Linked DNA regions of Callithrix jacchus. The protein of the gene in region 1 purifies or fractionates together with the protein of each later gene. This does not show direct contact. Links are inferred from orthologs where the notes say so. Each region holds a gene or a part of one and is shown in the gene's direction. Other genes may lie near its edges. The genes, in order: SLC39A7 and FAM174A.

Evidence for each region.
Region 2: the proteins of SLC39A7 (region 1) and FAM174A purify together in Homo sapiens (co-immunoprecipitation; 3 studies listed by BioGRID and IntAct, with this or other methods). This does not show direct contact. The link is inferred for Callithrix jacchus from reciprocal best matches to the Homo sapiens genes SLC39A7 and FAM174A.

What each region holds. Positions count from the first base shown.
Region 1 is NC_133505.1:41,436,564-41,449,496, forward strand, and holds SLC39A7 (zinc transporter SLC39A7), read left to right. Parts: upstream 1-7,023; 5' UTR 7,024-7,078; intron 7,079-7,384; 5' UTR 7,385-7,388; coding exon 7,389-7,799; intron 7,800-7,887; coding exon 7,888-8,056; intron 8,057-8,208; coding exon 8,209-8,262; intron 8,263-8,399; coding exon 8,400-8,564; intron 8,565-8,695; coding exon 8,696-8,836; intron 8,837-9,045; coding exon 9,046-9,242; intron 9,243-9,673; coding exon 9,674-9,946; 3' UTR 9,947-10,571; downstream 10,572-12,933. Other genes in the region: RXRB (retinoic acid receptor RXR-beta), read right to left, coding at 856-1,003, 1,118-1,223, 1,536-1,639, 1,743-1,875, 2,078-2,207, 2,591-2,763, 3,919-4,098, 4,465-4,621 and 2 more; HSD17B8 (estradiol 17-beta-dehydrogenase 8), read left to right, coding at 10,804-10,855, 11,042-11,259, 11,361-11,477, 11,587-11,679, 11,780-11,865, 11,969-12,053, 12,259-12,301, 12,497-12,571 and 1 more. UniProt on the Homo sapiens protein: Transports Zn(2+) from the endoplasmic reticulum (ER)/Golgi apparatus to the cytosol, playing an essential role in the regulation of cytosolic zinc levels.
Region 2 is NC_133503.1:109,908,196-109,920,602, reverse strand, and holds part of FAM174A (membrane protein FAM174A), read left to right. Parts: intron 1-4,968; coding exon 4,969-5,103; intron 5,104-8,692; coding exon of another isoform or gene 8,693-8,708; exon of another isoform or gene 8,709-12,407.

The sequences.
Region 1 (12,933 bases):
GGGGCCCTGTCTTCACAGCCCAGGCCCCTTCCCCAAGTCAGACAGGAAGAGATGGGGTGGGGGGGAAGCTGGGAAGGCTAGTGCTTGGAGAGCCCTAGGGACAGGCCATTTCAGGGCCCTGCCTTTCCCAAACACCCACCTCCACCACTGGCATTTCTTAGTCAACCTGGGAAAGTACAGTACTTCTTTGAGTCTAACTGCAAGTCTCTATCCTCAGAGGAAGTTAAAAATAGCAGATCGGTTCCTACATCTCCACCAGCCCCTTCACCACCACCACCACCTTTTTTATATTTCAGTCTGACTGAAGGAGGTGAAGTGTAAAAAGAGACTCTGGACAGGAGACAGTCACAGGGGACCCTCCCTCTCCCAGAGAGGCCCCCATCTGCCAGGCTGGAGAAAAGGAAGGCCTGTCAGGGCCCTACGCTTATGTCCATCAGTTTGGGGGGCCTGCCCACCAATATCCATCTCTTGGGGAGTTCCCCATTTCCATTCTTCAGATGGAAAGGAAAATGAGGCAAGATGAGAGGGAAGCAAGGTCCCAGGGGCAGGGCCAGTGCTTTGTGCTGGGAGAAGGACAGAGGGTGAGAAACTACCCCAAATCATGGGAGACCCCGACAAATTCAGAGACTCAAGGCCACTGAAGGGAGACAACCAGTCCTCACAGGGATCTGGGGTCCCTTCCAACTTGGGATATCAAGCAGATCCCTTGGAGGGCTTATGTTCTTGGTTCTGCCCTGTACTTCTCACCCCATCAAGCTTCTGGGAACATGGCCCCCCCCCACCCTGCCCCAAGCTTGGAGTCCCTCTTGGATGTGTGCTCCTCCAATGTGAGAAGCACCATGTCTGGGTCTGAGCTCAGGCCAGTTGATGGGGAGCCTCAAGCATCTCCATAAGAAAAGTGTCGATGGGGGTGTCACCAATGAGCTTGAAGAAAAACAGATGCTCTAGACACTTAAGGCCGATGGACCGGAGGGCAGGAAGACGTAGCAGCAGCTTGGCAAACCTGGGGTGGAGGTGGAAGAAGGGGAGTGAGAGCTGGAAGCACACGGACTCTGAACACATCCTCGTGGCACTCCCCACCTGTGAGGGAGCCTCAGTCCCCCCAGCCCCATCTCACCGTCCCTGCTGCTCAGGGTACTTCTGTTTGCAGTAGGTCTCCAGTGATGCATACACTTTCTCCCGCAGGACCTCCACCTCACTAGGGTTGGAGAGGCCCTTGGCATCTAGGATGGCACGGAAGAGAGGAGGAAGAGAAATGAACACAAATCAAATCAGTACAGCTGCGTAGATGTGAGCCACACGATGTCCCTTTTGGTCCGCACTTGCTTGCCCTTTACCAGAGGCCTGGCAAGGGAAGCAGGGCCTACTGGGTTTGTGGGACGCATCCACGGATGTGGGTTTTTCCTTGGCCAGTTGGGAGATTTCCAGGTTGAGGGTCTTACTGAGGGGGATAGCTGGGTAACTTAGGAGTCTCGGAGAAGAGGAGGCTCCAAGGGTGCCTTGGCCTTGAGAAACAAAGGTAATCCTCCTCTTACCTGGATTAAACAGAATGATTGCCCTCAGGCAGCCAAGCTCTGTCTTGTCCATCCTCATGTCACGCATTTTGGACACTAGCTCTGTCAGCACCCTGGAGAGGGACCTGCAGGTCACTCAAAGGTCACAGCTCAGCCAGCCTTGGACACGGACCAGCCTATAGCCCCACCCCCTTTATCTACATGCCAGCCTAGCCGAGGGCCACTGACCGATCAAAGATGGCTCCTACTCCTGCTGAATGGGCTGAGTTTCGGTGCACATGAAGACCTGTGGCAAGGAGGATGCCATCTCGAACATCAATGGATCGGTGGGAGAAGGAAGCAATGAGGAGTTCGTTCCAGCCTGGGTGGGGCAGCAAGGGTCAGGAGCCAGAAATCAGGCCAAGAGATTCAAAGCACATCAGTAGAAGAGAAGGAGAAAAGATATGGCGAGGTCAGCAAGTTTGGCTCCCTTAGGACACAAGGTAAGGCCACTGGGGTCACTAAAGGTTGGAAAGTCAAAGGGGTCAAATGTCAAGAGGTCAAAGGGATCCAAGGTCACTGACCTGCCCGCAGCAATATGACCTGATCATCCAGAGGCAAGGAGGAAAAGTGTGGGATCCTCTTCGCCCACTCAACAAGCGTGAATAGCTGTTTGTCAGCTGCCTGACAGATGTTAGTCACGGGGTCATTTGGCTGCAGGGGACGGGGGTAAGAGTTACGGAAGATTTTGAGATATGCTGGGAACCCCCTAGTAAGAGGCTCCTTACATACAGTCTTCCTGTGAGCCCCATCCAAACCAATCCCTGTAAGTCAGGCTTCTCTTCTGGTATTTGTTTAAGCAATTATTTATTTGGGAAGTGCCTGTGGTTCTGCCAGTGGGTGTTTTGGGGAGTAGAGACAGAAGGAGCTATCATATCCACCTCAGATATTTGAAAGACCTTGTTTGGCAGCACTTCTGGTCCCAAGCAGTGTTAGGAAGGTTATGAGGGGAAAGGATGAGAAGGGATATAGAACAGACCTAGACTACCTCCCCCTACCCCCATCATGAAGGAGAGTGAATTGACCCCAACACTCACGCTGCTGCCGCTACCACCGGTTCCCCCAGGACCCTCAACGCCCTGGTCACTCTTCTGCTCCACAGCAAGCTCTGCCTCCAGGATCCTGTCCACAGGCATCTCCTCAGGGGCTCCCCCAGCCCCCTCCCCATCCCCATCCTTGTCCTTTCCCCGCTGACGCTCCTCCTGTACCGCTGCAGGGGAAAGAGGGAGAGAAAAAAACAGAGAGTCAGCAGCCAGCCATTAAGGGTTTCCACAAGTATCCTTAGGGCCTCATCAGGATCTCATGGCCCTTGGGAAATATTTATGGAAATTGGAGAAGTCACTAGAAAGGGTGGACTGGGAGCAGCCCTGAAGCAAGGGTTATAAAAGGGCAGATAAGTCAGTCAGGAAGGGTGAGGAGGGTAAAAGAATCAGGGAGGAATTTAAATGGAGAGCCTACTACATGGTTAAAAAATATGCCAAGATTCAACCTGAAAAAGCTGATTGAAAAAAAATTTTTAATAAAAAAACATGGAAAGAAACATGCTAAGCACGTTTTAACATTCACTCTATTATCATAATTATGCTGGAAGCATTTATTCTCATTTTTAAAGATGAGGAACTTGGGATTCAAAAAGGTTAAACAGCTCACTTAAATTCATATAGTAATGGCAGGTCATACAATTGGATCTAAGTGTGTCTGAATGCAAATCTGTACTCTCCTGACTCTGCAAATAGGCAGTGAAAGGAGTACTGGCCTAGGTCTTCACGGATGTGAGTTCTGATCCCAGAACTGCCTGCCACTCCTTTGTTGCATGACTTTGGAAAAGCCAGGCCTCAGGCTCATCTTCTCTAAAGTGGGATTTTGACCAAGATACGTTCTCAAGTGTCTGTCTCAGACTTCTACGAATTGGACTTAAGAAGATAAGATGGAGACACAGAATAAGGAAGGAAATCCCTGAGCTTAAGAGTGTCGAGTCCCAGGAGTTAGAGGAAAGATCACAGATAACAGGAGACAGAGACCAGAGAGGGTCCATGGAATCAGAGAGGAGGAACCACTCAGGTTAGAAAAGGGGAGACAGAAAGCCCATCACGGGTAAGGAAAGGTTATCCTAAGACCAGTCTAGGGAGGGGTCATAGGTGTAGACCACAAAGGCCTAACCAGTAAGAAGGAAACTCAAGGGCCAGAGCAGGGTAACAGGGAGAAAAGCTTCGAAGGGAGAAAGAAATCAAATATCGCCCTCTAGAGGATATTTGATTTGAGAAATCAAATATCACCCTTTAGCCTTCCAGAGAGGTAGAGTCTTGAGCGGGGTAGGGGAGAAGGGGCATGTGGTCTAAGAAGCCTGGGCAGGGCAGGTCCTTACCCTCCCTCTTCATGCCAGTGGCCAGGCACTTCTGGTAGCGGCAGTACTGACAGCGGTTCCGCTGGCGCTTGTCTACTGTGCAGTCTTTGTTGTCCCGGCAAGAGTACGTAAGGTCCTTTCGGATGGTGCGTTTGAAGAAGCCCTTGCAACCCTCACAGCTGTAAACCCCGTAGTGTTTGCCTACAGGGAAAAGGGAAGAGCAATAAGATTGCGTGGAGACACCTTCACCATTTAGTCTCTTCCTAATCTCCCCCTGGCAAAACTTAAAGTCCTCTCTACATTTGCCAAATACAGAGATAGGGTACCAGGAGGTGAGTGATGATCCAGTCCCAGTCCCCTCACTGTTCAGAATCCCTACGTTTGCACTCCCTTTTCCCTCTGACCTTCCCCCTAATCGCATCCCACATCTCATCTTCAGCTTCTTTACTCTTATCAGGCCTCCCCCAGGTCACTTGCTCTGACCAAACCCCATAAGCCCTGGGAATCCCACAAGTGGTGATACATGGCCCAGACTCTCCCTCTCTCTTCATCCTCTGAGCCCCATACCTGAGCTTCTGTCCCCGCAGATTGCACATAGCCGTTTGCCAGCCCCCGGGCCACCTGGAGGGGGTGGACAGTGCAGGCCCCGGACCCCTAAGACTGGTGGCTTCACATCTTCAGGGGGGCCAGACCCACCCCCAGGGAGCGACACTGTTGAGTTAATCTGGGATGAGGGAAATAGGGAAGTCACAGGAAGACTCATTGGGAAGGAGAATCTCATAGAAGTGATGGAAATCATTCCCTACTACTAAGCAAAGTCCCACAATGCACATTCCAGAGGGCATCATTTACACTGTAGTCTACATGAGGGGCCATCCCTGGAGCACAATCCCAAAGAGAATAAACAGAACCCCCCTGAAATTGTGCTGTTCCACAGTGACCCTGAAGGGCAGGTGTCTTGGGAAAGCAGATGGGACCAAACGGGCAGAAAATCACTGATAGATGAAAAGGACATGAAGAATATCAGAATTAGCTGGGCATGGTGGTAGACACCTGGAATCCCAGCTACTCAGGAGGCTGAGGCAGGAGAATCACTTGAACCCAGGAAGCAGAGGTTGCAGTGAGCCGAGACTGAGCCACTGCACCCCAGCCTGGGCAACAGAGCAAGACTCCATCTCAAAAAAAAAAAAAAAACCACACACAAAAACCAAGGAATATTAAGATTTCTTTTAGTGGAGGAAGCATGCATTGAAAGTTCAGTCACCTCAGGAAAGGCAAGGGGTCTCAACAAAGACCACAGGCCTGCCAAGATTAGAGGATTAGAAGGTCAATGAGCCATGGGGAAGTTCACGCAAGGATTTGGGGTTACAAGGAAAACAAGGAAATGAAAGTGGCCAGGCAGTAAGTCGGTCACAACCTCTCACCTGGGGGCTGCTGACAGGCCCGGAGAATCCTGGGGGAGCTGGAGGGGGCAGACCAGGGGACCCCATGGAAGAACTGATAACTGGAAAGGGAGAGCCCAGTGGGGGTGGTGGCATCGGGGGTGGGGGTGGGGCCCCAGAGCCTCCAAGGGATGGAGCTGTTGAAGGGGGTAGGGGTGGCCCAGGAGGAGAAGGGGGAGGGACTCCCTGGGGAAGGGGATTTGGGGAGGAGCTGTCTGGGCTTCGGGAGTCTGAGAGAGGGGTATGTACAGGCACACAGACACACAGAGACAGGAGAGACAAAAAAAGAAAATGAGTCTTCAAACATCCAAGTAGAGACTTTAATTCTCTAGTACCCCACCGTGCCTGGACCCAGCCCACTCCATCCATCCCTAAGTCCAGAGACATCCTGCTGTCAAAAAACAGTATAACTCCAGCTGGTCCGATGAGTGCGTTATCAGAACTAACATTAGCGTCACTAAAATTGGTATACAACCTCCCACTGCTATATTTGACTGGCTGAAAAAACAAAAAAACAAGGTACTCCTCATTGTGGTGAGAGGAGGGAGTTGACAAGGAGAGGAGGATAGCTCAGTTGAGAAACATCTTCCAAGCAATCCATTTGAATGAATACCAGGTCATCCCCAAGCCACACCTGTCTCGTGGGTGGGGCAGCACGTGGGGTACCCATCCAGCCCCTCTATTCCCAGCGTAAAGCTGGGTAGCCGGGGCGTACAGGGGAAAGAGGTGGGAGAGACCCCTCCTATAACGCAGAATCTGCCTTCAAACGTCCAAAGTCCTGAAGCTTAAGAGGAATCGTGCCCTTCCCACGCCCGCGACCTCCAGTGCCCCAGGCCTCAAGCGGTCAAGGCTAGGAGATCTGAAGCTCCCCTTCCCCGCCCCGCCCTGGGGGGAGGAGGGCGCTAAGGCCCTCGGGAGGGAAGGGACGCGTGTTTACAAACAAGGGGGCGGGAGCGCCAGGAAAAGAGCACTGGGGAGGGTGTGGGGGAGGGGGTTGCAGATAACGCGGTCACTGGCTTGCCTGCCCTTCCGCAGGGACACTCACCCCGCCCGCTGTCGCCCATCCCGTCCCGTCCGGCCTCCCCCGGCTCCGGTTCCGGGGTTTGTTGTTCTCCGCCTGCCGCCGCCGCCGCCGCCGCTGCGGGATCCAGCCAGGGCCGTCGCCGCCGCCACCGGGACGCGACCCCACAATGCATTTCTTTTCGCACCCCCACCGGCCCACACTGCCCTGCGGCATGCCGCTGAGGGAGGAAGGGCGGGCGAGCGGCCCAAGACATGATCCCTGGCTGAGAGTAGGGATATCGAAGAGGTGCCAGAGATTCCCAAGAGTTGATCGGAAGATTAGCTGAGCACGAGGAAGCACCTGAGAAAACGACTCTGGCCTGGATTGGGTGGAATTAAGCTTGTCGTTCTGCTCTGTACCAAAATGACAGCGCCAATGTGGCAGCCATCTTTGTACAGACGGGAAGTGTCGGCGCAAGTTCCCGCCCCCTCGTCTAGTTGGAAACCGAGGAGGCGGTCTCCTCCAGCCTGTTAGCCCGCCTTGCCCACCTTCCCCTCAAATAACCTCCAGGCTCGCGCATGCGCGTCAGCTCAGGGTGGCTTCGTCGCTACCGGAGTGCCGCCATATTGGTAAAGGCATTAGGGCGAAGGTGGAACGGAACTTCCTGTTCTCGCGGGAGCTAAAGGCGGGACTGCCACGTCCAAGCAAACGGGGAAAGGAGAGGATCCCGGAGCCGGTGAGAATTCTGTTTTTCCATTCTATCCCTTCCAGGCCATTCCCTCACCTAATGAGCCATAGAGACGAGGGCCCAGAGAGTCCGTAAAGTGGCTGGTCAAAGACTAGTGTCCCAGAGCCCTGCATCCGCGAGGGGGTTCGGCATAAAGAGAACTAGTCTTGGGAACTATGTAGGTGGAAACTTAAGGGAATGGGAGAGCGGCCCATAGAGGTGGACGGAGAGCGCGACTGGAGTAAAGAGGACCCTGTGTAGGTATAGAGTTAGTTGAGAGTCAAGTGGAGTCACTGTCTCTGTCCCTCTGGTCAGCGTGATGGCCAAAGGTCTGGGGGCCCCCCGCTGGGTGGCCGTGGGACTGCTGACCTGGGCAGCCTTGGGGCTTCTGGTGGCTGGACACGGGGGTTATGACGACCTGCACGACGATCTGCAAGAAGACTTCCATGGCCACAGCCACAGGCACTCACATGAAGATTTCCACCATGGACACAACCATGCCCACGGCCATGGCCACACTCACGAGAGCATCTGGCATGGACATACCCACGGTCACGACCATGGACATTCACATGAGGATTTACACCATGGCCATAGCCATGGCCACTCCCATGAGAACCTCTACCACAGAGGACATGGACATGACCATGACCATAGCCATGGAGGCTATGGGGAGTCTGGGGCTCTGGGCATCAAGCAGGACCTGGATGCTGTCACTCTCTGGGCTTATGTGAGTTTCCAGGGGATGGGAGAGAGAGGGGCTGGTTCTGGATTGTCGGGAAACTCCACAGTACTTGACCCTGATTCTCCCTCACCAGGCACTGGGGGCCACAGTGCTGATCTCAGCAGCTCCATTTTTTGTCCTCTTCCTTATCCCTGTGGAGTCAAACTCTCCCCGGCATCGCTCTCTACTTCAGATCTTGCTCAGTTTTGCTTCTGGTGGGCTCCTGGGAGACGCCTTCCTGCACCTCATTCCTCATGCTCTTGGTAAGTAACCTCTGACTTCTACCTCAAATCTAACGTATTTTGTTCTTTTAAGGGTTCTTTCTCCTTTCTGATTCCTGATCTTCCGATATTCCCCCAAATACACACCCTTTGGGTTAGATATTCCCTCATTTGGCTTCCCCCCCTTCTTCCAGAACCTCATTCTCACCACACTCTGGAGCAACCTGGACATGGACACTCCCACAGTGGTGAGGAAGAGACAGATGGGGACAGGAGTTGGGGTGCTGGGGAAGGTCCGTCTCTCCCTATTCCTCACCTCCTGCACTTAAGGAGGAGAAGTCTGGAATGCACATCTCCCTTAATGTCTCAATGCCTCTATTCCCAGGCCAGGGCCCCATTCTATCTGTGGGACTGTGGGTTCTCAGTGGAATTGTTGCCTTTCTGGTCGTGGAGAAATTCGTGAGACATGTGAAAGGAGGACATGGACACAGTCATGGACATGGACATGCTCATAGTCACACACGTGGAAGTCATGGACATGGAAGACAGGGTGAGCCCAGGAACAACTTTCCAAAAGCTGACTTGCCTGCCTCAGAATCGCCTCATCTTATGGCCCTCAGGAGGGAGAGGACATATTGGAAGATCTGTTCTCCACTCTGACCAACTCCTTTCTTCCCTCAGAGCGTTCTACCAAGGAGAAGCAGAGCTCAGAGGAAGAAGAAAAGGAAACGGGGGGTGTCCAGAAGAGGCGAGGAGGAAGCACAGTACCCAAAGATGGGCCAGTGAGACCTCAGAAGCCTGAAGAAGAAAAAAGAGGCTTAGGTAAGGGCCAGAGTTGGTGATAAATTTGGGCAAGGGACATCCTCACGAATCACATGGAATATGTGCTATGGGTAATGGAAGGTGTCTGGGAAACACTAAGGGACTGGGTGTGAAGTGGTCTCTGAGGGGAGATGTGAGGATAGCTGACCAAGACTGGAACAACTGGTGATGGAGGCCTCTGATCATTTTCTCTTCTTTTCCTGTACAAGACCTGCGTGTGTCAGGATACCTGAATCTGGCTGCTGACTTGGCACACAACTTCACTGATGGTCTGGCCATTGGGGCTTCCTTTCGAGGGGGTCGGGGACTAGGGATCCTGACCACAATGACTGTCCTGCTACATGAAGTGCCCCATGAGGTTGGAGACTTTGCCATCTTGGTCCAGTCTGGCTGCAGCAAAAAGCAGGTTGGTGATGTCTGCCGAACACTGCTGCCTCAAACCCTTTGTTTCTGCTCACTCACCTTAAACCCAAAACAGCCTCTTATTAGTTCCAAACAATTCATGCTATCATTGACAAGTCCCCTAGAAATGAGTGGGAAGAAGTTCTGGTTTCTTTTCTTTAGCTCAGTATTTCTTAAACTATGGTCTATAAACAATCTGAATGGTTTAGTGGAGTCTTACACACACACACCTACTCAATCAGAAAGTCTGTGGAAAGGATCTCTGATCTCTAAGATTTTTTTCAGAAATTGTCTATTCTAGACCCTCCCCCTTTTTACTTTGATGTTTAGTTTCCAAATCCATGTCCCTTACACCTATATCCCACCAGCTACTTCTAAACCCACTGATAATCTTTAGCTGTTGGTGAGTGTCTCTTTCTCTTTTCTGCCCATCAGGCAATGCGTCTGCAACTACTGACAGCAGTAGGGGCACTGGCAGGCACTGCCTGTGCCCTTCTCGCTGAAGGAGGAACAGTGGGCAGTGAAGTTGCAGGTGGTGCAGGTCCTGGCTGGGTCCTGCCATTTACTGCGGGTGGCTTTATCTACGTGGCAACAGTGTCTGTGTTGCCAGAGCTGCTGAGGGAGGCATCACCATTGCAGTCATTTCTGGAGGTGCTGGGGCTGCTGGGGGGAGTTGTCATGATGGTGCTGATTGCCCACCTCGAGTGAGGGGTGGGATAAACTACCTTGCCCCAAACCTCTACCCCTCACTCTAGGTCAGGGGTGTGTGGAGGCTGGGGGCCCTGGCCAGGGACATCTACCAAAGGAAGGAACCGTAGCCTGAGAAAATGGTTACTTTGTCATTAGGGCCTTCAAGGGCTGGCAGTCTTACAGAGGCGGTAGAGGTGAGAATGAGAGGCCAGAGGGAACATAGTGTTGAGCACCACCTGACCATGTTGTTGCATTTGGAGGTCTAAATGGGGCCATGAAGAAGGCTGGGAGAGGGGATGATGGCAGCCTACTTGGTGTCCCCTACCCCACCTGTTAGAAAACCAAGTTGCTACACAGAAAGTTCTGCAAAGTCCACTTCCCTTTCTCCCACCACTTGGTAGAGGCTTCAGGAAAGACCAGAGTCCTGGACAGAGAGGGTAACAGGAGTAGTCGGGGATAAACATAAACATCAATCGTGTGTCCTGATTTGGGAGTGATTTGGGGGACGGGCGGGGGGCGGGGGGGAGGGTTGGTAATATCACGGCCTGATTTTTTTTGTTAGTATTCTTTTTATATCACTGTGTTTGAATAGAGGGGGAGGAGGGGTGGAGACCAGAAATAAAGTCCTCAGATCTTCACCCCACATGGAGTCTTTGTCTTTTTGGGGGGAATGGGGCCCCTTGTCTTCCCCACACTGTCGGCCCCCAAACAGCAGTGTCTGGCCACGCCCCCGCGGTGGGAGGTCGGCCAGCGCTGGCGGCCGCAGATGGCCTAAGGCTGTCGGGGCTTCGATTGGCCCCGGATTTGCGTTCGCCACGCCCCCTCTGCACTAGGATTGGCTTAGTGCTGGGGTTCCCACCCACCCACAGTCCGCCATGGCGTCTCAGCTCCAGCACCGGCTCCGCTCTGCGCTGGCCTTGGTCACAGGTTGAGGGGGTGCTCTCCCGGGAAGGTTTGGGGTGTTGGAGTGATGTCAGGGGCATGCCCTTGGAGTCCACGGCCCCTGTAACCTCTGGCCCCTTATCCACATTTTACTAACTTTTTGCCCTGTGACCTCTGATCCCTGCCCTCTCCTCCCCCTGCCCGGTCCCTGCGTGTTCTGTCCTACCTCAGGTGCGGGGAGCGGCATCGGCCGGGCGGTCAGTGTGCGCCTGGCCGGAGAGGGGGCCACCGTAGCCGCCTGCGACCTGGACGGGGCAGCGGCACAGGAGACAGTGCGGCTGCTGGGCGGGCCAGGGAGCAAGCAGGGGCCGCCCCGAGGGAACCACGCTGCCTTCCAGGCTGACGTGTCTGAGGGCAGTGCCGCCAGACGCCTGCTGGAACAAGTGCAGGTGAACGCCAGGCCACGTTCTCTCTTTAAAGCTCTAATATTGCCGCCACTGCCCCGGCTCTTTGTGGGTTTTTTTTGATGCATAACCTCCCCCTCCCATAGGCCTGCTTTTCTCGCCCACCATCTGTCGTTGTGTCCTGTGCGGGCATCACCCGGGATGAGCTTCTGCTGCACATGTCTGAGGATGACTGGGACAAAGTCATAGCTGTCAATCTCAAGGTGGTGATCTCTGAACCTGCGACTTTTGGCCACCTTAGTCTGGGGGGTGAGTCGGAGGAGGGCTGTCATCCCAGCTGATCTTTTCTCCCTTGTTACCCTTTCCCGCCAGGGCACCTTCCTAGTCACTCAGGCTGCAGGCCAAGCCCTGGTGTCCAGTGGTTGCAGTGGTTCCATCATCAACATCAGTAGCATCGTAGGAAAGGTCAGGTTGAGTTGGACGAGGTCAGCCAGCCAAGTGGCATAGAAAGGAGAACCCCTCCTTGAGACTGCTGACTCATTCCACATCTCTGACTCATCTATAGGTGGGGAACATGGGACAGACAAACTATGCAGCATCCAAGGCCGGAGTGATTGGGCTAACCCAGACTGCAGCCCGAGAGCTTGGACGGTTGGTCAGATGGTTGAGGGTCCTGGAGAGCACCTGGGGGGTCTGAGGGAGGGACCAGCATTCCAGTCCTCTCCAGAATCAGCAGCCACTCTCCTTCTCACAGACATGGGATCCGCTGTAACTCTGTCCTCCCAGGGTTCATTGCAACACCCATGACACAGAAAGTGCCACAGAAAGTGATGAATAAGGTAGGAGGCTGTGGCTGGAGGGCAGAATCATTCAGAGACTCAATCTGGGCTTCACAGAGAGAAAGAGAATACTGGGCACAGTTCCTGGCAAACATTAAGTATTCAATAAATATATAAGGAATGAAGACAAAAAAGGGTCACAAACTTAGTCTTCAAAAAAATCTATAAAAGCGGCTTTCACCTGCGTATGAATATTTCCTTACAGATTACTGGAATGATCCCAATGGGACACTTGGGGGACCCTGAGGGTGAGCACCGAATGGAGAGGAGTCCCTGGGAAGGGGGCCTGAATGAAGAGATCCCAAAGTTTTGGGATTTTTTAGGGGATGGGTGGTTGGTATCTGTGATGGGGTTTGTGGTGAGGTGTCTTTGGTGGGAGATTTTGGGTATTTTGAGTGTATGGGAGTGAGCAGGATTCTGCCTTCTCCCCAACATTCTCATAGATGTGGCAGATGTGGTCGCATTCTTGGCATCTGAAGATAGTGGATATATCACAGGGGCCTCAGTGGAAGTCACTGGTATGAGGCCAACCTGGGGAGGGAGAGGGCAGAGTAAGTGGAACCCAGACTATATGAGAAAGCAAGTAAGGGGAGTCTGGAGCCACTGGAAAGGGCAGAGGTTCCCAAGGGCAGGGACAGAAGTGGGCACCCCCCCCAGCCCATTTGTCTCTCCACCCATGCATCTGTCCAAATGTTTCTGCCCCTCCCAGGAGGTCTTTTCATGTAACTGCCTCAAGGTCCCTGGACTCTGCTCACCCCCCACCACTCTGCCCGGCCTCCTGCTGATGAGGACTCTAAGTTCCCAGGCTACAAAAGGGGTGGCAGTGTATGGCTCAGGAATGCTGAATATGGGAAGCAGGGGTGCTGGTGACCCTAATAAA
Region 2 (12,407 bases), on another chromosome or scaffold:
GTCTATTGCCTCAAAGTACATCCTATTTCTAAATAAGGTCAGGACTTCAACATATGAATTTTTGGAGGACATAATTCAAGCTGTAACACGCAAACACATTCCTTATTAGTGTCTGATTCTTGAAGAAGTCGGACTGACAACTGATGGATTGGGTGGTGGAAATGGGGAATAAAGATGAGAATGATGTCAATTTCATCAAAAGAATTTTTACTATGTGTCATATATTCAATTGGGTTGAATTTCCTGATGAATAGTATAGACAACTACAATTGTGATTCACTAATATTTATTCATTTATATTTCAATGGTTAAAAAAAGAAATTTCACATTTATTTTTGGTCACTAGTTCACTTTTTTCTAAAACTAGTTAAAACAAAAATTTTGTTTTAGTTATAGATTGTTATTTACTCTGTTTCATTGTTATGTCTAACCACACAGGGTAGTGTATGTGTCTGTATAGTAAATAATATATTCCTCAGTCTAGTTTTAAATGTGCTAAAAAAGAAATTAAGAATTATATTACCCTACAGATGCTCAGTTAAAAAAAAACAGAAGGGAAAAAATAAAATTAAGTAGATATAGCAAGTTACAACAAATTTAAATCAAACTAGATAGATATATCAAGTTACAGCAACTTATATTGATTGGTGTTCTCCCTTTCATAGAGCAGTGAAATGAAATGGAATTTTATTCTGTTTTGTTTATATGTCATCACGTATTTTTACATAAAATTTTATCAAGCTTACTTTTGTGGTTTGGCTTTATTTTGATACTCTAACTTATATATATGTTATTAGAAGGGAAGTCATTTTTACCAACCTGAATATATTGGAATATTAAGGAATCTGCATCTATATGAAGGCAGCTATTTGAATATTAACTTGAATACCTAGAAAGTGTCTGACCGGGATAATTTGTCTGAGCATACCATGTGATGAGTGAATGTAATTTTATATGAGTAATCATATAGATATTTTCTTTTGCCTGCTCAGGCTTTTGTACTTTCCTCTGTAAACACTTGTAGATAAAGTCCCTATTTTTATTTTCATTAGAAGCTGGCATAATTTGTTTTTGTATTTCCAAATGCATTTACTATGTCTAGTAGAAAAGTGTGCATATCTATGTCTGTATCTACATGTGTGTGTATATATTTGTAATTGTCAGCACGCATATAGACAAGTTTGGGTATCACAAGCTTAATGAAGACATTCATTTGTAGGAAAAGAACTGTGGCTATTAAAATTGCATAGATATTAAAGCTCTTTTTCTTTTGTTAAAAAATAATGTACAATGCATATTAAAAGACAAAGTCCCCTTTTTTATTGCATTTTAGGTTTTGGGGTACATGTGCAGAACATGCAAGATAGTTGCATAGGTACACACATGGCAGTGTGATTTGCTGCCTTCCTCCCCTTCACCCACATCTGGCATTTTTCCCCATGCTATCCCTCCCAACAAAGTCGCCTTTTTACTTAAAATGTTGGCGTATTTTAATGTATGTTTTATTTTACATTTAGTGTTTGTTAGTATTTTCAGTACTGTTTGTTGAATCACCCAAATTATTTTAAAGATTTATAATTGTTTTTTCCTACCTTGAGATAAATCACACCATATAATAATGTGGTGTGTGTGTTATATTATATTTAATATTTTTATATGGCCATGTAGCTATATGACCACATAGTTATGACTGCATATATCTTTGGACTGAGGAAAGACATTTTAAGAGAAATTACATTTCAAGTTTAAATTTTATTTAATAATATGCAGTATTCTTGACTCATTTTTAGATGAGTCAGTACATATAATAAAACAGTAAATTCGTTTAAATTTGAACTGCATCACCCATTGACTTGATGCCTAACAATATTCTATTTTTATATATGGAATAGATTCTAAACAACAATCCAAACTTGTTTCTAAATAGTTTGGATTCATTTTTAGAAGATAGTATTTACATATACAATTAAATTAAAGAACAGTATAAGCTAGAATAAAATAAAAGGTCCAAACCACTACAGTCAAATGTTTAGGCTGTACATGGATAGGGAAAATAGTATTATTAGGCAAACTAGTTTGACCACTCATTGAAAGATTGGAAATCATTGAAGGTATGGTAAAAACTTTGGATGTAGAGAAGAACATCAGATGAGCTAAATGTTGAAGTCTTTAAACTCTATGTTCATCATTTTTTTTTAAGACTTGCCAACATGTCCTGTGACTAACAATGACAGGTTAACATATTGACTGTTTGATATGTATGACCTGGAAGAATCGAGTTTATTTCCAAAAACAATTTCACATGGCATTAACTTCTTTTTTATTGACTAAAATTGTCAGAATGTTTGGAACCCATATGGCTTTGAAGACTGAGCAAAAGGCTGACAAAAGGAAAGAGAAATTATAATTCTCAATATCCTTAACTTATGTTGCCAACTAGTTTCACTCTTATGTAATCATTTTTAAAATCAAATGATTGCATGCAGGTATCATTAAATCATATGGTTCAAAAGCACAATAGTGAACTTACTTCCCTATATTTTTCTATTTTTTTTTTTTTTTTTTTTGAGGCAGAGTCTTCACTCTGTCTTCCAGGCTGGAGTGCAATGGCCCCATCTCAACTTACTGCAGCCTGTGCCTCCCGAGGTCAAGCGATTCTCTTACATCAGCCTCCCAAGTAGCTGGGATTGCAGGCACATACCACCACACCTGGCTAATTTTTGTATTTTTGCCAGACACAGGTTTTCACCATGTTGGCCAGGCTGGTCACGAACTCTTGACCTCAGGTGGTCTGCCCACCTCAGCCTTCCAAAGTACTGGGATTACAGGCATGAGCCACCATACCCAGCCTATTTTTCTAGTTCTACTTTCCATAGACAATAATTTTATTTTTTTTTCTTTGTTTGTTTGCTAATTATTTTTATGAGTCTAAATCAGAGGCTGTCAAAGTATAGCCCACAGGCCAAATTCCTTCTGCTGATGTTTTTGTAAGGCCTAAGAACTAAGAATGTCTAGCTATCTATCTAGCTATCTGTCAATCTATCTATCTATCATCTATCTATAGATTTTTAAGGGTGGGAAACAAAATGAAAATTTAAATGAATACATAGCAGAATGTGTCCTACAGATCGTCAAATACTATCTAATTTTTTTACAGAGGAAGTTTAGACCTCTGGTCTACATGGTGTGTGTGTGTGCACACATACACACACATATACTTAATGTAACAACCTAAACATTAATTTCTCACCATGAAAGAACAAGTTCTTTTTACTTCATACTGCTTCATTTTTGCTAGTACTAATATTTATTGACTCTTTTATTGGGTACATTTGTAACTTTAAATACTATGCTTAACTTTGTTTCCTGTTCCATCACTTTGTATGTGTATATATATATATAGCTCTATAGGTAATGATTGATAGAAATTTTCTTGGTTTCTGTTCGTTCACACTTTAGTAACATTTTATAAATTTTAACACTGAGACCAGGCAGTTTATATCCAGAAGCTACTACCATACCTGATGCTTAGGAAGACTCAAGTATTTGTTCAAGGTCTTTTTCCCCCCAGGGGCTTCACTGTCATGTTTGAACAGGCTCACGTTGCTCTTTACAGTTGATATTATAGCTTAAGTATTTCTTATTCCACTTACTATGTTATGCAGATCAAATCAGGATTTATGCAAACTAATTTTATTTGTGATAACTTGCTGAAATATTTTCTATTTTATTTTTAAATTCCAATGGACACTCTTGTGAAACACATTTTCCTATGTGTGGAGTTGAAGTTATTGCGTTGGAGATGATTTAGGCATTCCTTTCAGGGTCATGGTTTTGGATTGCCATGGTAGAAGTCACTCAGACCTTCAATAATTAATTGAGGAATATCTTAATTGATATATCACTGTACTAGAAAGTGGTTATACAGTGGTGAATAAAGCAGTTTTCGTTGCTGCTCATATAGCACTTAGTGGGAGACACAGGTGAATAAACACCACATAGATATATACATCGGCACATAGGAATGAAAATTAAGGAAAAGAATAAGTTATTTGAGACACCAACTGGAAGTAGGGCTCTAAATCATGAGATTTCATAAACACAGCTAATAATAATGAATGTTAAGCACCCTTGAATCTTTTCAGTTTCTCTAAGGCAGTGGTTCTCAAACTTGAGTATGCATCAAAAGCATAAGAAATGTTTGTTAAAACACAGGTTTCTGGGCCACATCTTCAAAGTTTGTTGTTAACTAAGTCTGGGCTAGCCATGAAGATTTGCATTTCTTATAAGTTCCTAGGTGACTGTTATTCTGCTGATCCAGAGAAACACACTGCAAGGACCACTGATCTCAGATAGTGGTTTTATATCACATTGGAATCACATTTAGAATCTCAACAAAATATTGATATGTAATTCTTTTTGCTGTGCTTTTTGATTCAGTTATAGCCTAAACATGGGGCTCCAAAAAATACCCCCAGGTAATTCTGGTGTATGGCTAGAGTTGTGAGCTATCAGTCTAGTCTGTGAACATGGATATGCATACAGTTTCTTAGAGGGGCATCTTCACAGGGGTAGGAAAGCATGGAGGACATGGGGAAAAGGCTGGAACAGGATGTTTCAATAAAGGAGTACCTGACCTAAGCCTTTAAAAATTGAGGCTTCAAGTATGGTACTTGAACTAAGGCTTAAAAGTTATTTGTCAACACCATTGGTTGACACAGGGAGAAGAGAGTATGTCAAACAGAAGAAACAGGTGATGGCACATAAACATGTAGGAGTAGGTTTTGTTTCATGAAATTTAATCCCAGATGGTAAATTTGTTGCATATATGAAATGTAACCATTCTGATATTGAGTGCTTTCTATGTCAGAAACAGAATGAAAATTTATTTTAATTTACAAATAAATATAAACTAAGGATCCTCTACACCATATTAAATAATTTTTATTAATTTGTTACATTTAATAGGATGAGAAGAAGAAACCGAAAGACTAGGAGATACGGAGTTTTGGACACTAACATAGAAAACATGGAATTGACTCCTTTAGAACAAGATGATGAGGATGATGATAACACATTGTTTGATGCCAATCATCCTCGAAGGTAAGTATTCCAGTAGTTTAATTCCATGAATCTGGAAGCAAGACTTGTGAAGTAAACTGAAGAAGTAAAGCAGACTTTCATTTAACAGTTTATATTCCAACACAGATTTTCTTCAGTTCTGTTTAATGAAGTTATCTTTCCTGTCTACCCCATAGCTCACATTCACATTGTTTTGCTGAAATAGATACCATCTCAAAATAATTCTTAAAAGTTTATTTTCCTTTTTTTTAACTTTTAAGTTCAGGGGTACAAGTGCAGGGTTGTTACATAGGTAAAGTTCTGTCATGGGGTTTTGTCATACAGATTATTTCACCACCCAGGTATTAACCCTAGGACCCATTAACTTCGTCATTCTTGCATTTTGTATTAATTTGTGTGTGTGTGTCTGTGTGTGTGTGTGTCTGTGTGTGTGATACTTAGTAAATTTAGTTTCCTTTTTGTATTCTGAAGATACTTTGTTTTTAGTTTGGGTTCCAGTGTTGTGTAAATAGTGCTGCCTTGCAGAATTGGGGGGGCTAAATGTTTATGGTCTGATCATATAGCTATAATATCTATACTGAGATCTATTCTCGCTAGATGTTAAGAACTTTCCTAAGAGGTTTGGATAAATAAAATGACATGAATATAAAATAAATCCCAATGCAAATAGAATGGGGAAAAAAGGGCAACAAAGATTCAGCCTAATAAGGAAAGACATATTGGAATACAGAGGGATTACTTGGGTGAAGGAGAATTAGAGTCCAGAGTCAGGTACAAATGCAGAGAAAACAGAAATCTTGGGAATACAGAAAGGATGATGACTCAACAAAAATTGGACTCTTAAATCCTGTATATCTATATCTACATCTGTCTATCTATATAGCTAAGCTGTTTATACACACACACACACACACACACACACACACACAAAGGAACTTTTAGTAATGCTGGTCATTTATTCATTTAATAAAAATATGTTCATCAGTTATACATTTTAATAGTATTACTGTCTGGATAGGCAAACATGAATAAAACAATTGTATCTGTTCATTAAGAACTCATTTTCAATTTAAAGACACATGTAAGATGAAAGAAAAAGGACAGAAAAGGATATTCCATGCAAATGGTAACCAAAGCAAAGCAGAGGTTGCTAAATTTATATCAAACAAAATAGATTTTAAGTCAAAAACTATCTCTTGAGACAAAAAAAGATCATTACATAATAAAAGAGTCAATTCAACAGGATACGACAATTAGTATGACTATATCAGAGCACCTAAATTATAAAGCAGATATTGACAGATCTGAAGCAAGAAATTGACAGCCATAAAATAATTTAGGGGACTTTCATATTCCACTTACAATAATGAATAGAATATCTAGACAGAAAATCAATAAAGAAACCACTGACTTAAACAACACTATAGACTAAATTGACCTGACAGACACGTTTACAACTTTGCACCCAACAGTGGAAGAATTCACATTCTTCTCAAATGCTCATGGCATGCACTCTAGGATAAATCATGCTGGGTCACAAAAAAGTCTTAGCAACTTTAAGATGATTGAAATTATTCCAGGTATCTTTTTCAACCTCCATAGAATAGAAATAGAAATCAATAACATCAGGAAAACAGGAAAATGTATAAATATGTAGAAACTAAAAAATATAGTTTGAATATAACTCCAGGCCAAATCTCACGTCACTTGTAACCCTCCATGCTGGAAGTGAAGCCTGGTGAGATGCTTGGGTCATGGAGACTGATCACTCATGGCTTGGTGCTGTCCTCATGATAGTGAGTTCTCATGAAATCTGGTTATTTTAAGTGTGTAGTAACTGCTCCTCCTTGCTCCTGTTTTTGCCCTTTGAAGTACCTGATACCATTTCATCTTGTACCATGAGTAAAAGCTCCATGGTACCTCCTCAGAAGCCAAACAGATGTCAGCGCCATGCTTTTACAGTCTGCAGAACCATGAGCCGATTAAACCTCTTTTTGTTATAAATTGCCCAGTCTCAGCTATGTCTTTACAGCAATGAAAGAATGGACTAATACACTGAACAACACACTCTTGAGCAATCATTCGGTCAAATAGGAAATCAAAGGGAATTTTAAAAGCTATTTGGAAACCAGAAATATGTGGCATAACAAAACTTACAGGATGCAGCAAATGCAGTGCTAGGAAAGAAGTTTATAGCAGTAAATGCCTTTGTTATGAAAGAAGAAAGACTTCAGATAAATGTTTGCCCTTTAAGAACGTGGCAAAAGAAAAATTACCCTAAAACAAGGAAAACAATTAAGATTATAGTAGAAATACATTAAATGGAGTTGAGAAAACCAATGAGAAAAATAAGTGAAATTAAGATTTTGTTTTTAGAAAAGATAAATAAAATCAATAAACCTTTAGCTAGAACTAAGAAAAAAAGAAAAGGCTCAAATAAATAAAATCAGAAATAAAAGAGAAGAAATTACAATGGATTTCTCAGAAATTAAAAAAAAAATGGCATGAGACTATTATGAACAATTATATGCCAACAAATTTGAGAACCTAGAAAAATGGATAAATTCCTAGAAACGTACAATCTATGAAACCTGAGTCAAGAAGAAATTCAAAGTTCAAACACACCAGTAACAAATAAGGACATTGAGTCATTAGTCAAAAACATTCCAACAAAGAAATTTTCAGGACCATATGACTTCATGGGTAAATTATACCAAACATTTATAGAAGAATTAATACCAGTCCTTCTCAAATTATTCTGAAAAATAGAAGAAGAAACACTTTAAAAGTCATTTTATGAGGCTAGTATTTCCCTAAGCCAGACAAAGATGCCATAAGGCAAGCAAACTGCAGGCCAATATTTCTGATGAGCAGAGATACAAAAATCCTCAGTAAATGCTAGTTACCTAACTTCAGCAGTATATTAAAATTATGATACACCATGACTAAGTGGGATTTGTCCCTGGAATGCAAAGATCTTTCAACACATGCAAATAAATGAGATAGAACACAGTAATAGGTTGAAAGAAAAAACTACAAGATCTTATCAGTAGACACAGAAAAAGCATTTGACAGTGCTACCCACAGAGACAAATGGGGTTACATCAAACTAAAAAGCTTTGGCACAGCCAAGGAGATGATCATCAGAGTGAAAAGAAACTTAAAAAGTGGGACAAAATATTTATATTATTATAAATATATATGTGTATATATGCATTTGTTAATATCTAACATTTATAAGGGATTGCATGTATATGTGTGTGTGTGTGTGTGTGTGTGTGTGTGTGTATGAGTTAACATCTAAAATTTATAAGAAATGCATTTAACTTAGTAGCCAAAAATCTCAAATAATCTGATTTTAAAATGGGCACATGACCTCTTTTTGGGAATGTAAGTTGGCACAGCTATTAGGGAAAACAGTATAGAAATTCCTCAATAAATTATTATTTAGCAGTTTTACTGCTAGATATCTATCCAAAGGAAATCAGTATTGCATAGAGAGATCTGCACACCCATGTTCACTGCAGCATTATTCACATTAACCAAGTTGTGGAAATAACCTAAATGTGCATTGACAGATGTATTTGTCCATTTTCATACTGCTTTGAAGAAATATTCAAGAATGAAGAATTTATAAAGAAAAAGAGGTTTAATGGACTCACAGTTCTGCATGGCTGGGGAGGCCTCACAATCATGGCGGAGGCAAAGAAGGAGCAAAGGCATGTCTTACATGACAGCAGACAAGACAGCATGTGCAGGGGAACTGCCCTTTATGAAACAGATCTCATGAGACTTATTCAACATTGTAAGAACAGCATGGGAAAAACTCGCCCCCATGTTTTAGTTACCTCCCACCAGGTTCTTCCCATGATACTTGAGGATTATGGGAGCTACAATTCAAGATGAGATTTAGAGGGGGACACAGCCAAACCATATCACAAATAAATAAATTTGAAAAGTATGAGATGTATATGTATGTATAATATATATAATTATATGTATAATACACTATTGAATATTATTCAGCAAAAAAAAAAAGAAAAGAAAATCTGGACATTTGCAACAACATGGATGAACCTGGAGGAATTAATGCTTTGTGAAACAATCCATACATAGAAAGACAGATATTGCATTATCTCATTTATATGTGGTATCTAAATAGTCAAGCTTATAGTAATGAATAGAAATAGGGGTTGCTAGGGGCTACAGAGAAGGGAAAATATGAAGATGGTAAGTCAGGGGGGTCCAAAGTTTTAGTCATGCAAAATGAGTAAATTCATTTATGTGAGATGAGTAAGTTATGCAAGATGAATAACTTCTTAATGGACAACAATGTGAATATATATAGTTTACAATACATTACGCTATTGTATATTTTTAAGTTTTCTAGGAAAGTAGGTGTTAAGTGTTCTTGCTACACACAAAAATATGGTAATCACATGAGGTAATGGATATATTGATTAGTGTGATTGCAGTAATTCTTTCATACAGTATATGTATATCATAAAATCAAGGTAAACACTTTAAGCATACCCAATTTTTATTTGACAATTGTACCTCAGTAAAGACGGAAAAATAAAAAGCTCATGAAACAGTTGTAATCTACGCTAATCACCAATTCTATAGATTACAAAAAGTCATTTTGAAAATTGTAACACAAGGGAAACTTTGATTACAAAGTTGTGTTTTGAAGATTACTCTGACTTGCATGGGTTGAAGGAGACCAAGATAAAGAGTAAGGTGACAAGGAATAAAAGTAGTTAGATGGTACGGATGCATAAGATGACTTGCATTACAGTAACAGCAGGAAAGGCAGAGCGGAATCAATTATTTAAGCGGTTTTGGAAGGTATTAAATTACCTTCCTTAATTACCATCTTAACCAAGATATAGGTGTCCTGTTTGAGAGTGAAAGAATGAGAATTGGTTATAATAATCGTAAAGCATGTTTCAGGGATAAGAATAAAATCATCTTGAGTTTTTTAATAATCTGACCCAATTTACTTAATAAGAAAAAACTTTAATATATATCTAAATAAACTGACAGGAACAGTGTATTTCTATTTACCTTTTCATTCATTTATCCAACAAATGAATGATGTAGCAGTTATTTATTTGCCAAGCACTGGTCTAGGTATTTGAGATACATTCGAGAGCAGAACAAAACCAAACAAAAAAAAATTCTCACTTTGTGAAGTTTGTTTGTGAAAAGATGAGTTAGAGAGGTTAACAATTCATTTTTCATCTTTAGTTTTTCTTCTATACCTATCTGATGTTTTTTTTCAAAGAACATATATTTATGCATTACTTTTAAAAAAAAATCTTTTGTCTAGAAATAATTTTAAACTTACAGAAAGTTTACAAGAATAAAAACAGTACAAAATATTATATGCTTGTTTTTCAGATTTATTAGTTCTTAGCATTTTATCCTATTCTCTTAAGTGGTCTTTCTTCTGTCATAATATATATACAGAAGAATTCATACCTCTCCTTTTGTGTTTATCTGATGTTCTGATGTTTCCTCATAATTAGATTCAGGTTCCTCATTCTTAGTTGAAATACTTCTTAGTTCATGCTGTCTCTTAAAGGTATCATATCTGGAAACACGGATGTCCATTTCTACTTCATCTGTTTAAGCTTTGTCCAATTTCTCCACTCTGTTGATGATTTTTCCCCTCCATATCTAATAAGGAAACATTTTACAATCATGGAAATATCCTATTTCTCATCTAAATTTCTCCCTATGTTTAACATCTATTCATCACAATTCTTGCCTAATCTAATCTTCATTATGAAACTTAGAACATAATTAATTCAAACTTAATTATTTCTTTTCTGTTTACCAATCAGCATTGACATTCTCCTATAAGCAAAAACCTTCCCTTCTTCCTTGTTTGTCATCAAAATGTAATGATGATTTTCTCTCTGTCAGTTGTTCATAATTTATTGCTGTACTTAATTTAGTGCACATATGGTTCCAGATGTGGCCAATGGAAGCTTCTTCAAAATGGTTTCTGTCCTTGTAACTCAGTCCCATTTTTTTTTTTAAGTACCTTACTTTCCAGCCTCACAAGATAATCTAGGCACTTTTGGACTGAGCCTTGAAATGAGGCATTTCTCCATAGAGCCCTGGTTTCTTTGAATGGACACTAGGTAAAGTCTTTGGAACTGGGTTGACTTTGTTTCTGGGCCTTTCAGCACACAGTTCCATTAAATGTATGTATATACATAAATATACCTGTGTCCATCTGCTTTCATATACATACATATGTGCATACTTTAGATACTATTACTTAATACCTCCCATCCCAGTTTATCTCTACCGGGTTCTTGTTTGCCTTCTTCCTTTCCATAATTGTGTTTGTCTACTGTCATGAGATATCTGGCTTCAATACTTTTACAAATTCGTTTAGTCTTATAATAAAACTGAATTAGTTTGTGAGTTTCTTTGCTTATTAAAGAATTGCTTTGCTTAGAAAAAAACTTTAAAAACATTTATGAAAGTTTGCAGTTTTCTCCTCACAGTTCCATCATGTCCAGTAGTGAGGGCATGTAGTCAGATACTGTGTTCATAAATAATTGGTCTTAGTTATGTCCCACACCCCTCTTCAGTGTGCTCATAGTAGTCATTTGAAATATAATTTAATTTATTGTAGTTTGCTTTCTGGTTTAGGTTTCCAATTCCTTTCCTATTTTTATTTTTTTATATGAAAAGCACTAGCATGCTTCCAAAAGTTAATACTATACAGAAAATTTAAACAGACACAAATACACAGAGACACAAAAAAATTCCCGTCTCTCGTATACCTTCCACTCTCCACTCCATTCATCCTACTTCATCAACTTATTATTTTCTTTTCTATCTTCCCTGTAGTTTTTATTATTATTATTATTTTGGTAAAAACTGACAGAAATGTATATTTCTTTTTTTTTTTTTTTTTTTTTTTTTGAGACGGAGTTTCACTCTTGTTACCCAGGCTGGAGTGCAATGGCGCGATCTCGGCTCACCGCAACCTCCGCCTCCTGGGTTCAGGCAATTCTCCTGCCTCAGCCTCCTGAGTAGCTGGGATTACAGGCATGCGCCACCGTGCCCAGCTAATTTTTTGTATTTTTAGTAGAGACGGGATTTCACCATGTTGACCAGGATGGTCTCGATCTCTTGACCTCGTGATCCACCCGCCTTGGTCTCCCAAAGTACTGGGATTACAGGCTTGAGCCACCGCGCCCGGCCAGAAATATGTATTTCTTATGTTTCCCTCATTTCTTACATAAGATGAAATATGCTATATATGCTCTATTATACTTTTTTGTTGTATTTGATATTTT